Linked DNA regions of Caenorhabditis elegans. The main gene of each other region encodes a partner of the protein of the gene in region 2 in a complex. Each region holds a gene or a part of one and is shown on either strand. Other genes may lie near its edges. The genes, in order: atat-2 and mec-12. A codon is read from its position in the direction of its gene.

Evidence for each region.
Region 1: the proteins of mec-12 (region 2) and atat-2 are in contact, whole or in part, in a cryo-EM structure (PDB 8YAL), measured with the Caenorhabditis elegans proteins. Residues at the interface, in NP_497663.1 of Caenorhabditis elegans: Leu26 (codon at 1,609), Glu27 (codon at 1,606), His28 (codon at 1,603), Gly29 (codon at 1,600), Gln31 (codon at 1,594), Pro32 (codon at 1,591), Pro37 (codon at 1,576), Ser38 (codon at 1,573), Asp39 (codon at 1,570), Ser41 (codon at 1,564), Leu42 (codon at 1,561), Gly43 (codon at 1,558), Gly44 (codon at 1,555), Ser45 (codon at 1,552), Glu55 (codon at 1,522), Pro364; in NP_001379875.1 of Caenorhabditis elegans: Trp51 (codon at 3,192), Lys52 (codon at 3,189), Arg53 (codon at 3,186), Ile55 (codon at 3,180), Arg89 (codon at 2,354), Lys93 (codon at 2,342), Thr94 (codon at 2,339), Leu95 (codon at 2,336), Tyr96 (codon at 2,333), Thr98 (codon at 2,327), Gln104 (codon at 2,309), Leu113 (codon at 2,282), Asp114 (codon at 2,279), Asp148 (codon at 2,117), Lys149 (codon at 2,114), Ser171 (codon at 1,092), Asn172 (codon at 1,089), Lys173 (codon at 1,086), Tyr174 (codon at 1,083).

The regions. Positions count from the first base shown.
Region 1 is NC_003284.9:5,847,192-5,852,558, reverse strand, and holds atat-2 (Alpha-tubulin N-acetyltransferase 2), read right to left. Parts: upstream 3,460-5,367; 5' UTR 3,452-3,459; coding exon 3,311-3,451; intron 3,202-3,310; coding exon 3,107-3,201; intron 2,383-3,106; coding exon 2,211-2,382; intron 2,151-2,210; coding exon 2,057-2,150; intron 1,101-2,056; coding exon 949-1,100; intron 903-948; coding exon 765-902; 3' UTR 588-764; downstream 1-587. Other genes in the region: hog-1 (HintN domain-containing protein), read left to right, coding at 1-57, 105-320, 435-494. UniProt on the Caenorhabditis elegans protein: Specifically acetylates 'Lys-40' in alpha-tubulin/mec-12 on the lumenal side of microtubules. Promotes microtubule destabilization and accelerates microtubule dynamics; this activity may be independent of acetylation activity.
Region 2 is NC_003281.10:3,136,069-3,141,247, forward strand, and holds the start of mec-12 (Detyrosinated tubulin alpha-3 chain), read right to left. Parts: upstream 3,167-5,179; 5' UTR 3,067-3,166; coding exon 3,064-3,066; intron 1,682-3,063; coding exon 1,459-1,681; intron 1-1,458.

The DNA.
Region 1 (5,367 bases), on a different chromosome or scaffold from region 2:
AACGTGGTCTACGCTGAAGAGCTTAAAGTTGGAGATTGTCTAGTTCTTCTTTACAAAGTAAGTTTTCTGTTCAGTTTTCCAATAACAATTGATTTCTATTTTAGGGAAAATTTCGCCAACAAAGAGTCATGAGAATATCGATAACCGAAAGAAAGGGAATTTATGCCCCAATAACAAAAAACGGGCGAATTATTGTGAATGATATCGTAGCATCGGTTTTCAGTGGAATCAAGCACACACGGTTACAATCCGATTACTATTCTACCATAGCCTATGCACAGAGCTGGTTATGGATATTTGGAGAAACTGTCTTTCACAAAGTGAGTGCAACTTTTTAAAATTGAAAAAAAAACGACCCTATTCGGTTAATTGAACTCTAGATCTCTCTAGATACCTGTTTAGGTTACCATCAATCAAAAACTTTTGCATTTTAGGCCACAATCCCAATCGGTTCAGCATTAGCTTCAGACGTACTCCGGTTAGTAATACCATAACTGAAAATTTAACTCAATCATCTAATTACATTCTATCTTTTATTACGAGTTTTTTGTTGATATTTTAAAAATTAAATAATTATGTTCATTGTGTATGAATAATTCGTATTTATTATTTTGAGTTTGAAAACAGCCAACTTTGATATTAAGCGATTAGAAGAATTATGAAAAAGGATTGAAATATCAAAAATCATGAGATCATAACTAAGGCAAGGAGGCATATTTATTGTGTACTGCCGCCAAAGTAAATAATCAAAAACTAGCAGCTTATCACCAAATCCGGCGATGTCCAAAATCTCGAGCATTTTTCAAGCCTGTTGGACTATTTGGGTCTACTTCAGCACGCACTCCGGCTAACATATCCTGGCGCATCAAATCAGCAACCGAGTCGTGACGGGGGCGATTGCGCTGAAATATTATTTTTTGCAAAACAACTATTTTTTTATTCACAAACCCCAATTGGGGAGGTGTTACGGCTGGATGCATGACTGGACACAGCTGAACTGGCTCGAGACGCTCGTTTTGTCTGGCGAGGGGTGAATGGAACAGTTGGGTGACGTCCAATGAAAAAATTTGAACATAATGCATATTTGTTTGATTGCCATACTGGAAATGTTGCGGATGATGAGAATTTCTACATATAATACGGTCGTAAACTAAGTATCAAGTTTTTTGCATACAAATTGATGACTGTTGCAAGTAAGGCTTTTTTTTCTGAATATAATTTGGCATCCAAAGACTGAAATAAATTTAAGAAACTAACAATGGATTGATAAAGTTTTTAAAACTGTGAACTAACTACTTATGCAATTTAATTCAAATTTGAAAATAGAGCGATAGTTTGATTTTTAAAAAGATTTTAAACAATATCGTTCTGGTATTTTTATTAGTTCAAAATTCAAAATACTAAGTAATCATAAATACATTTCCGGCAAGCTTTCGACAAGTATTATTGATAAAAATGGATGAGTTCAATAATTCTTTCCTATTTGAATTTTCTAAAAGTGTTTAAACATTTTCAAATGAAACTCAGCTTAAAATTAGGTTTTGGGATCCATTTCTGTCAAGAAAGTGGAGGAAATAAATTTTTCTGTTTTACGAGCAAAAATTAATAACAAATTCGAGTTTTATTCAGCTATTTTTATGGACTAGTTTTCAATAGAATATTGTATCAATGTTTTATTTGTTTCATATTAACTTTTTATTCCACACCAATTATTAATGACATACTACTAAAAAAACAAAACTTTTGATTATGACTAATGAAAGACAACTGCTCATTGCCAACGAAACTCGGGTGATTTCATTGTTGCTCACTCATTCAGCACTCTCTTCAAAATGCATTATCTTATCAGCTTATCAGAGCTCCAGCTACTTCCATGCAAAGTATGCTTTAGCGCGGAACCCGGAATAAGTCTGCGGTTGCGAGCAACAGCTAATCCAGTGCGAAATCCACTAGTATCGGGTATGTTTAGGTGCTGTGAGCTGTATCTACCTTGTCGGTCTTTGCTGTCGGCCGAATTTTGTAATGTATCGGTGGTACAAGAATGCAATTTACTTACCCAAATCTTTTCTATCATAATATTTTTCTAGAAATTGTTGGAGAGCAGCTGATGGTTTGTCGAATGCGCATTGGTCTACTGTTACGTTTTCAGCCTGAAGTAGAACATTTAAAAACTCTAAGTCACTTTTCTACAAACATTTAAAAAAACATACTTTTAACATTTCATCAAACATTTTGAATCCATTTCCGGAGCGTTGTTCGGTGGGCACAACGAAAAAGTCCAAAATGCACATTGCTTTTTCCATGTACTGATTTTGTTCATTATCTGTCAGATAAAGCGTTTTATATCCAACTCGAAGCAACCCTTTGAGTATACTTTTGCTTCTGAAAAGCAATAATTAAGATAACTTTTTTTTTGAACGATTTTCCCAATTTAGTTTTAATCATGAGCAAAAAAAATTGAATTCCAAAATATATATTTTTAAGTTTTACATTTATATTTTTAGTCAAAACTAAAATAAATTTGAAACTTATATTTAATTATGCGTTGTAGGATGCAAAGCAACAAAACTCTAAATTCAAAAATTGGGTTATTCGCCAAAACCAAAACAAACTGTTGACTGGAAATTCTTAGAATTAATATCAATATATATTTTTTGCAATAACAAAGATTGTTGGTTTATATATAAGGATTATATAAGGATTTATTCAAGTAAGAAATTCGAAGTTCAAAATACGGTCTTACTATTAGTAAGAGGTATGGACAAATTATTGAAAGTTATATCTTTTTTTTTCATATACACACTGCAATATTCAGGTATATGAAAACCTCATGAAAGCTTTTCAAAAATCTTTTTTTTTTAATTTTAAACTACTATTTAATGTTGCAATCCTTATTGCGTTTATCAATTTACAAAAAAACAAACATTTTAAATATTCCAAAATTTTCATACTTATTAATAAAAACGTATTAAATTCAAAACGTATTAAATTCAAAACGCGAAGCCAAGGATCAAAATGTGCAACACATTTCGCTACTCCACCTTTGAAACATTCTTTCCACTTTTTTAATTTATAATTTCCAGTTTTCACTTTCAAAATGCCTTACCCATTAACTTTCTCCCACATAATGTAGGTCGTCTGCTCCTCGTCATGGTCAACGATCTTGTCATACATTGTGATGACTCTCTTCCATCCGTGGAACTGCAAAAAAAAAGACAAATGCCGTGCATTTTCAATTGTCTAAGCCATATAAAAAGTTTTGCATTGTTAATAACCTTCAAAAAAGTTCTGGAAAAAAACATGAACCTACCTTTGATGACATTTCACCCAGGCAATCTATACTTTGAGCCACAGCCCAATATCGTTTTGGTCCATACTTCAATAGGTCAGTTCGAGTGAGACGTTGAATGTTATCCGTAAAAATTGTTGACAAATCGAATGCGATCTCCATGTTTCTGCAACAAAAGTGATACAGAAAAATAGTATGAAACTTAAGCTGGACTGAAGGAAACAAATTTGGGATAAGTTGAGAGGGACTATGTACGCGATTAAAGAAAATGGGCGGAAGACACGAGACTACTGGCCTCGGCCGCAATATATGGAAAAGAGAGAAGGAATAAAACGGGGTACGAAAAAAAAAGGAAGGGAAAGAAATAGGATGCGAGAAAAAAAACTTGATGGGATACACACATGTCATTTATTTATGATTCACTGAATACTTCTCGATTGATTGGCGGAGAAAATCAAAGCAGGTGGGTGAATGAAGAACTGCGGAGGGAAAGTTTAAGAATGTGGTACAAGTGCTCGAGTATGAATGTTTGCACATTGATGACGGAGTATAGTTATGAAATATTCATTTTTGTGCAAACATTATACAATCGAACAGGTTCGAGTGGAGAGTAATTAAATATGGACTATTACTTTTGCGATTATTGTCTCAAAGGTGGACTTTCGACAAACCAAATGAAAATAAATAGTGGAAGATGAAAAAGTCCAGTTCGTAAAATTGCAAATTACCAGCTTCTGCTAATTTTTTTGTTTGAATTTTTCCAAAATGACTAATGCAACCAATCAGCGATTACCTGTATAACACCAGCATATTTTTGCTAAATATTAAGACAAAAATCCGATTTCCCAACTCCGTCTATAAATTGTATTACTCAGTCAAATAGTTAGGAATATCAAAGGAAAATATGAGAAAAATTTGTGAAAAAAACGATAAAAAACTATGAAAAAGCCCAGATTTTTTTTGGTTTGCTAATAATCGTACAGTTTAAGACAATAAACCCACAGATGAGTTAATTTTGAAAAATAGTACAATTCGAATGAATGTTATTTTTAAAAAATGTGGCATTTTTAATTTTACTTCCCAACCAAATCTATGCAGTGAACAGAAATATAATTTCATTGGATAAATTATTTTAGAAATGTATTATAGATTATTTTATACATTTTAAAACAGATTTAAACAACTAATCGAAAAAACGAAAAAATTGTAGGAGTCAGATGCATTGATTTTAAAAATATAAATTGATCAAAAATAGAAACAATTTTTGATTTCTCAGATAAAACTATGCAGTTTTTATCATTTTAAAAAACATTTCCGCGAAAAAATATATTTGAAAGTTAAAAACCAATTACCGAGTTGCTCTATTGTTCATCACATTTAAACTGGTCGAAATTGAAGAGAAAAAGTTTAAAACTCAATATTATTTGCTAGACCAAAAACGTAGATACTATTAAAATCCATATATATTTTGTGCAACCCTATTGAAAAAGTATACTATGCATAAATTTCAAAACGAATCAATAATTTCAAATATACAAAAAATTATTTTGAATATGATGTTAGTAAAAATAATATTACTATGACTACTCAAAAAAAGAGCTCTGAGCAGATGCTTCGATTGCAAAACTACTATGCCAAGATATATTTCAAAATGCTACAACTCTCCCGAATCGTATGGGAATTTGTAATGTGGTGAGACGGAGCGAGAAGTGGTGTTGCGAAATAAAGCCGGAAAAGTGGGCACGAACAATCGATTCCAAAAGGGAGTCTGCTTTTCGGGGGGTGAGAGGACATGCGCAATGAAAGAGAGAAGTAGTTCGGTGGCACGCGTGCGCGTGTCGTATTTTACAAAAGGTCCAGCTTCCGTGGGGTGTCGATTTGGAAATTGAAAAGTAAGATGCCCTGACTGACACACCTTGGAATTATAATAATCCATTGTTCAAAAGGATGTGTGAGTACGGAGGAGATCGGACGAAAAGATTTGGAGGGAATGGGGCCGGATGCGCCATTGTTCGAATTGAATAATGAGAGGGCAAATTCATTTACATGTTCGGTTATCGTGACTGTTTAAAGAAGGG
Region 2 (5,179 bases):
TTCTCCTCCGCCACCAACACTCCCAAATATTCAATTCCAATTCCTTATTTCGGTTTCGGTTTTCGATGAATATCCAATGTTCTTCATCCCTTTCCCTCCCTTCATTTTCTCATCTTTTCTTCTTTTTTATATGAATAGCAGACGAAGAAGTTTGTTGGTGAGAGGGGAAGATGAGCTTCCTCCCGAGAGTATACTTTGTCTATTTGGGAAGTTGATGGAACATGGAACTTTTGGTTTTAGTTGCAAAACTAACGACAAACAAATTTTCTAGACTAACTTGAAACGCCTATAACTTTGCCGGAAGTTGAGTTAATAAAAAATTGTTTATTAACATATTATAGAGCTCAAAATTTCCTACAACTTGGTAGTTGTCAACTTTTTGATAGCTCTCCTCATCGCGGAGATATACGCGTTTAAAGTAAGAACAGTGAGAGAGTGTGGAGGGAGGGGAGACGCAGTCGCGCTCGTTGTCTGCGTCTCTTTCTCTCCCACGATCTTTTACAACGACACGTTAAAACGTTTGTAACTCTGCGTAGAAAACAGCTATCAAAAAAGTTTCAACTAACAAAATGTGAGAAATTTTGTATAGTATTTTCAGATACCCCAAATTTCTCTGAAAATGTTCAAAATTTCCTCCGTCAAATAGCAAAACATTTTCCATTTGCATCCCTAATAGGGTGTCCTACTCCAATTCCATTAAATTCTTGGAGAGAGTACATCCATTCATGTTAGCAGATGTGTAGTGTCTGCGTCTAATTACATCACAATGGGCTCGCCATTTGAAGCAAAAAGAGGAAGAGCTCTTTGAAAATTGAGCCGAAATGGAATTGGTGACGTTTTTCTAGGGTTTTCGGAGAAGCCTAATATCAAAAATTTTCCAATTGCGTTTTTTCGCAGAACCACAAAAAGTCATAAAGTTAGACCTTTTAACTCAAAATTTTAAAATTTTTTTCAGCTTTCCGACACCTTCAAAATACGTATAATCATGACCAGATTTCCAAAAAAGTTTGGTCCCGCCACGAGAGCTACAGTACCCCTTCAGAATTTTCATAGCTTAGTTATGTTTGCATATTCAAATGAAAGTTCTCAAAATGCCAAATATGAAAACCAAAAAAATTAGGTCTTGCGGTGAAACTGGGAATATTGCTGTGCCGTTTTGAAAATTTAAATTTTTTGATTTTCGAAATTTTTCGAAAATCCATAAATGTGCCAAAACTTAAAGTTTTGGGCGGAAATTAGAAGTTATAAATGCGTAAAGTCCTGAACTACGCAAAAATAATAATTTTTAACATCTCTGTAAGATTGCTACAGTACCACATACGTTTTCGTGACGGGACCCAAAAATTTCAGCATTTTCAGAACCTAGTCATGATTATACTTATTTTAACGGGCTTTTAACACTGATTTCAAAAATTTAAGTGAAAATTCAAAAATATCTTCTTAAAAAAAATCCCCCACCAATGACAGTTGGCTCCAAGTCGACCATGACGGCTCTTGGCACATGACGTCCACTTCCAGTTTCCGAGAAGAAAGTGCTGAAAGAGTCATCGGATCCTCCGAGGGACTTGTCAGAAGGCATTTGACCATCGGGCTGAATTCCGTGCTCCAGGCAGTAGAGCTCCCAGCAAGCATTTCCGATTTGGACTCCGGCTTGTCCGATGTGAATCGAAATTACTTCTCTCTGCAAGATAACTTTTTTTGTTTGTAGATTTTAAAGGGTTTTATTATAAAATTTGAATTCAGCAAACGAAGAGCTTCAAATTAAGCCCCATATTGGCTATGTTCCTTTAGATTTGGGTCCCGTCACGAAAGTGTCTACATGGGGTACTGTAGTTTTCGCGGTGGGACCCAGTTTTCTCAGTGAAACCTAGGCATGACTATACTTGAATTGAAGCTCACAGCGTGGTGAATTTGAATTTTTGAATCAAAATTTCAAATTTTCATTTTAAAAAGTTTACTACGATATCTGATATGTATTACAGGTAGACAGGTAGATCAAACCCTCTGAAAAATTTACATTCGTGGCGAATTTCAAATTTGTTCAAACCCACTATTTTATTGTAAAACTCAATTTTCAATAAAATTTCGCGGGTCTCGCCACGAAGAGTGCGTATTTCTTCTAGGAATAGTCCTCTCCTCCCTAAAGTTCCACCCGCAAAAAGAAAGAGAAAAAAGTCAATTTTCGCCCAAATTGGATACATTTTGTGTTGCTCGTCTCAACTCCTCAACAACCCTCCTTCGCCCCGTCCTGCTCGGCGCGGAGCATTTTTCAGTTGAATTGGCAACATTTCCTGTGTTTATGTGGTGGGGCTCCGGAAGTCCGGACCTGGCACCAGGTGTGCTCAATGAGTCGAAAAAATGTTGAAGGGGTGTTGAGGTGGAAGAGTTAATAAATCCTAAAATCCTAGTTTTTCAAAATCAAATTTCGAAAAATTGTTTTTTTTTCCTAAAATTGTTAAAATAATTTGTTTTGATATCAGGGTTCCTAACCAAGATGTGTCCTGATAACGCATACGCAGACGGCGATGGCGTCTGCGTCTCACCACTTCTTACACTATCTCGTCGCTAACTTTAAGTGTTTGTATCTCAGCGAAGAGCTGAGATATCAAAAAATTTCAACAAACAAAATGCAGCACTTAACATTTCCTACATTTTGTTAGTTATCAACTTTTTGACAGTTGCTTTCCGAACGGAGATATGCCCTGTTAAAGTTAGGAGGACTGGAATAGTGTGGCACGAGAAGAGACGCAGACAGCCCCCTTCCACACTGTTTGGCTTGCTACATTTTGAACGAGTATATCTCCACAGGGAAAAGAGTTAGAAGAAAAGTTTCAACTAACGAAATGTAGGAAATTTCAAGGTCTATATTTTGTCTGTTGACAAATTTTTAGTATTCACGTTATTTTTCTAGATACTGGTAGTTTTAACAAGAAATCAGATTCGTAAAGTTTTTATGGCGAGGTTTAAATGTTTCAAAATTCATTTTTCACAAGAATTCATTTCTAGCATCTCAAGAATCTAAACATTCAAATAAACATTGTTCAGAAAATCTAGAAAACCCACCATTTTGCAAAAGAGGAGCTACAAGTTGTGTTTGCTGGGCGACGAGTTGAGATGGAACAGAACACACACAAGTGGGGCTCTGTGCTCTGTGAGCCTCTTTTCTGAAGACGTGCCTTCTCTGCGTCTCTCCGTGTTGACACATGCTCCGCCCCTCCTATGTTTCTTTTTTTGCTCCGCGAGCTCCATGTTTAGGATGGGAAAGGAGACGACATGAAATTCCGAAAAACAGAGAAAAAACGAAATTAAATTAAAATGTTGCGAAATTGTTAAGAACATTGGTTTTGACATATTAAAATTCTGTTGAAAACTAATAAAATACAAAATAAAAAATTTCCTTGACAGTGTTTAAAAATCTTATATCTCTGCTGGTAATTAGCAAAATATAGCTTTTATGATGTTCTACATTTTGATATTTCCCATCGCGAAACTTCTACTTCATATAATTTAACTGTTACTGGGGAAAAAGTAACATATTGCCCAAAGGCAAATTAGAAAGGACTCTAAAGACCTAGTTTTGGTGAGAAGTTTTCAAAAAAAAGTTTCTACAATTTTTTTTAAATTTAAAATTCAAACGTACGTATCTCAAAAACCAGGTGAGTTATCAAAAATTGCCAACAAACAAAATTAAGCTCTTGAAATTTGATACACTTTGTAAGTTGACAACTTTTTGATACATTATCTCGTCGCGGAAATACATGTGTCTAAAGGAACCTAGGTGAAAGGTACATGCCAGGGTGTGCGGCAAATTTTCCGAAATTTGCCATTCACCGAGCTTGGTAAGTTTGCCGAATATTCCACAAAAAAACATCAAAAATATTAAAATTTTCGGATCCCAATTATTATTCTAGTTCAGTTTTTCAAAATACAGTTTGAAAAAAAATCGTTTTTTGTAGATAAAGCTGTATATCTCAAAAACCAGGAAAGTTATCAAAAATTTGTTCACTAGCAAATTGTAGACAATTTTTAGAGCTATACTTTGTTTGTTGACAATTTTTTCGTAGCTCTACAGGTTTTTGAGAGAAATCGATTAAAAAACAATTGAAAAAAAACTTCTTGCTTTGAAATTTTTTTGTAATTTTTCAAAACCTTTTCGCAAGTCAGTTGAATTTTTTAAAGTTTCTACATGTTAAAAAATTAATAATTAAAAATTAATTTTTACATTTTCCAACAACACATTCTTCTCCCCACCACTTCCACCAATTTCCAGCCATCTGCCCTCTCTGGCTCCGTGAGCCCTCAGCAAACAGTATCAGGTTACCCCTTAGAGACTCCGCCCAACTACAGTAATCCAAGGAAATAGTGTGTAAGGTGGAGAGAGCCGAGAGAGAAAGCCATCTGGAAATGAGCAAAAGGATTGGTTTACCGATGGAAATGGAAAGAACCTCCTAATGCATTCAGATTCAGAGCTCTGCGATGAAGCTTGCGGTGACTAGTATTCAGCTGTGTATTTATTGGCCTTTACTGCTTAAAATGTATTCAAAACTAGTATAATTTCAAAAAAATTCCTTTTTTTTTGTTAAATTTTAAGTTTTTCCCTACTACCAATAGGATCCTAGGACCTTATCACAATTTCTAACACTCAAATTTTGATGAATTTGGAATTTTTTGGGGGACTTGGGACCACTGTTGTATGAATTTTTAAGCTGATGATCTTCCTTTTTCATTCATTTTTGATAGGGTCTCATATTCTTGGAAGAACTGGAAAATGATAAATTTTGAGAAGAAAAGGCTTTGAGAAAAAAGAACGAAGGGAATTTTGTTGTGCAGTTTTTGAAAATTTTTGAAAAAAAATCGAAAAATCTCAAATTGTCTAGCTGAATTGTTTTTTTTTCAGTTTGTGTATTTTATTGATTTTGTAAAAAAGAGTTTGACGATAGCTTTAATTTTACAGAAAAAATTCGGCAAAAAATTTCAATTTCGATCAAAGTTAAAATTTCGAGAATTTTCAACATTTTTTAAACATTTTTAACATTTTGGAGTTAGCCCCAGTAACTTGCCGATTTTGTTCTGAAATTTAAAATTTATTGTAAATTGAAAATCCGCACATTTATAGTTTTTATTTAAGTATAATCATGGCTAGATTCTAAAGAATTCAAAAATTTCTGAAAATATGGGT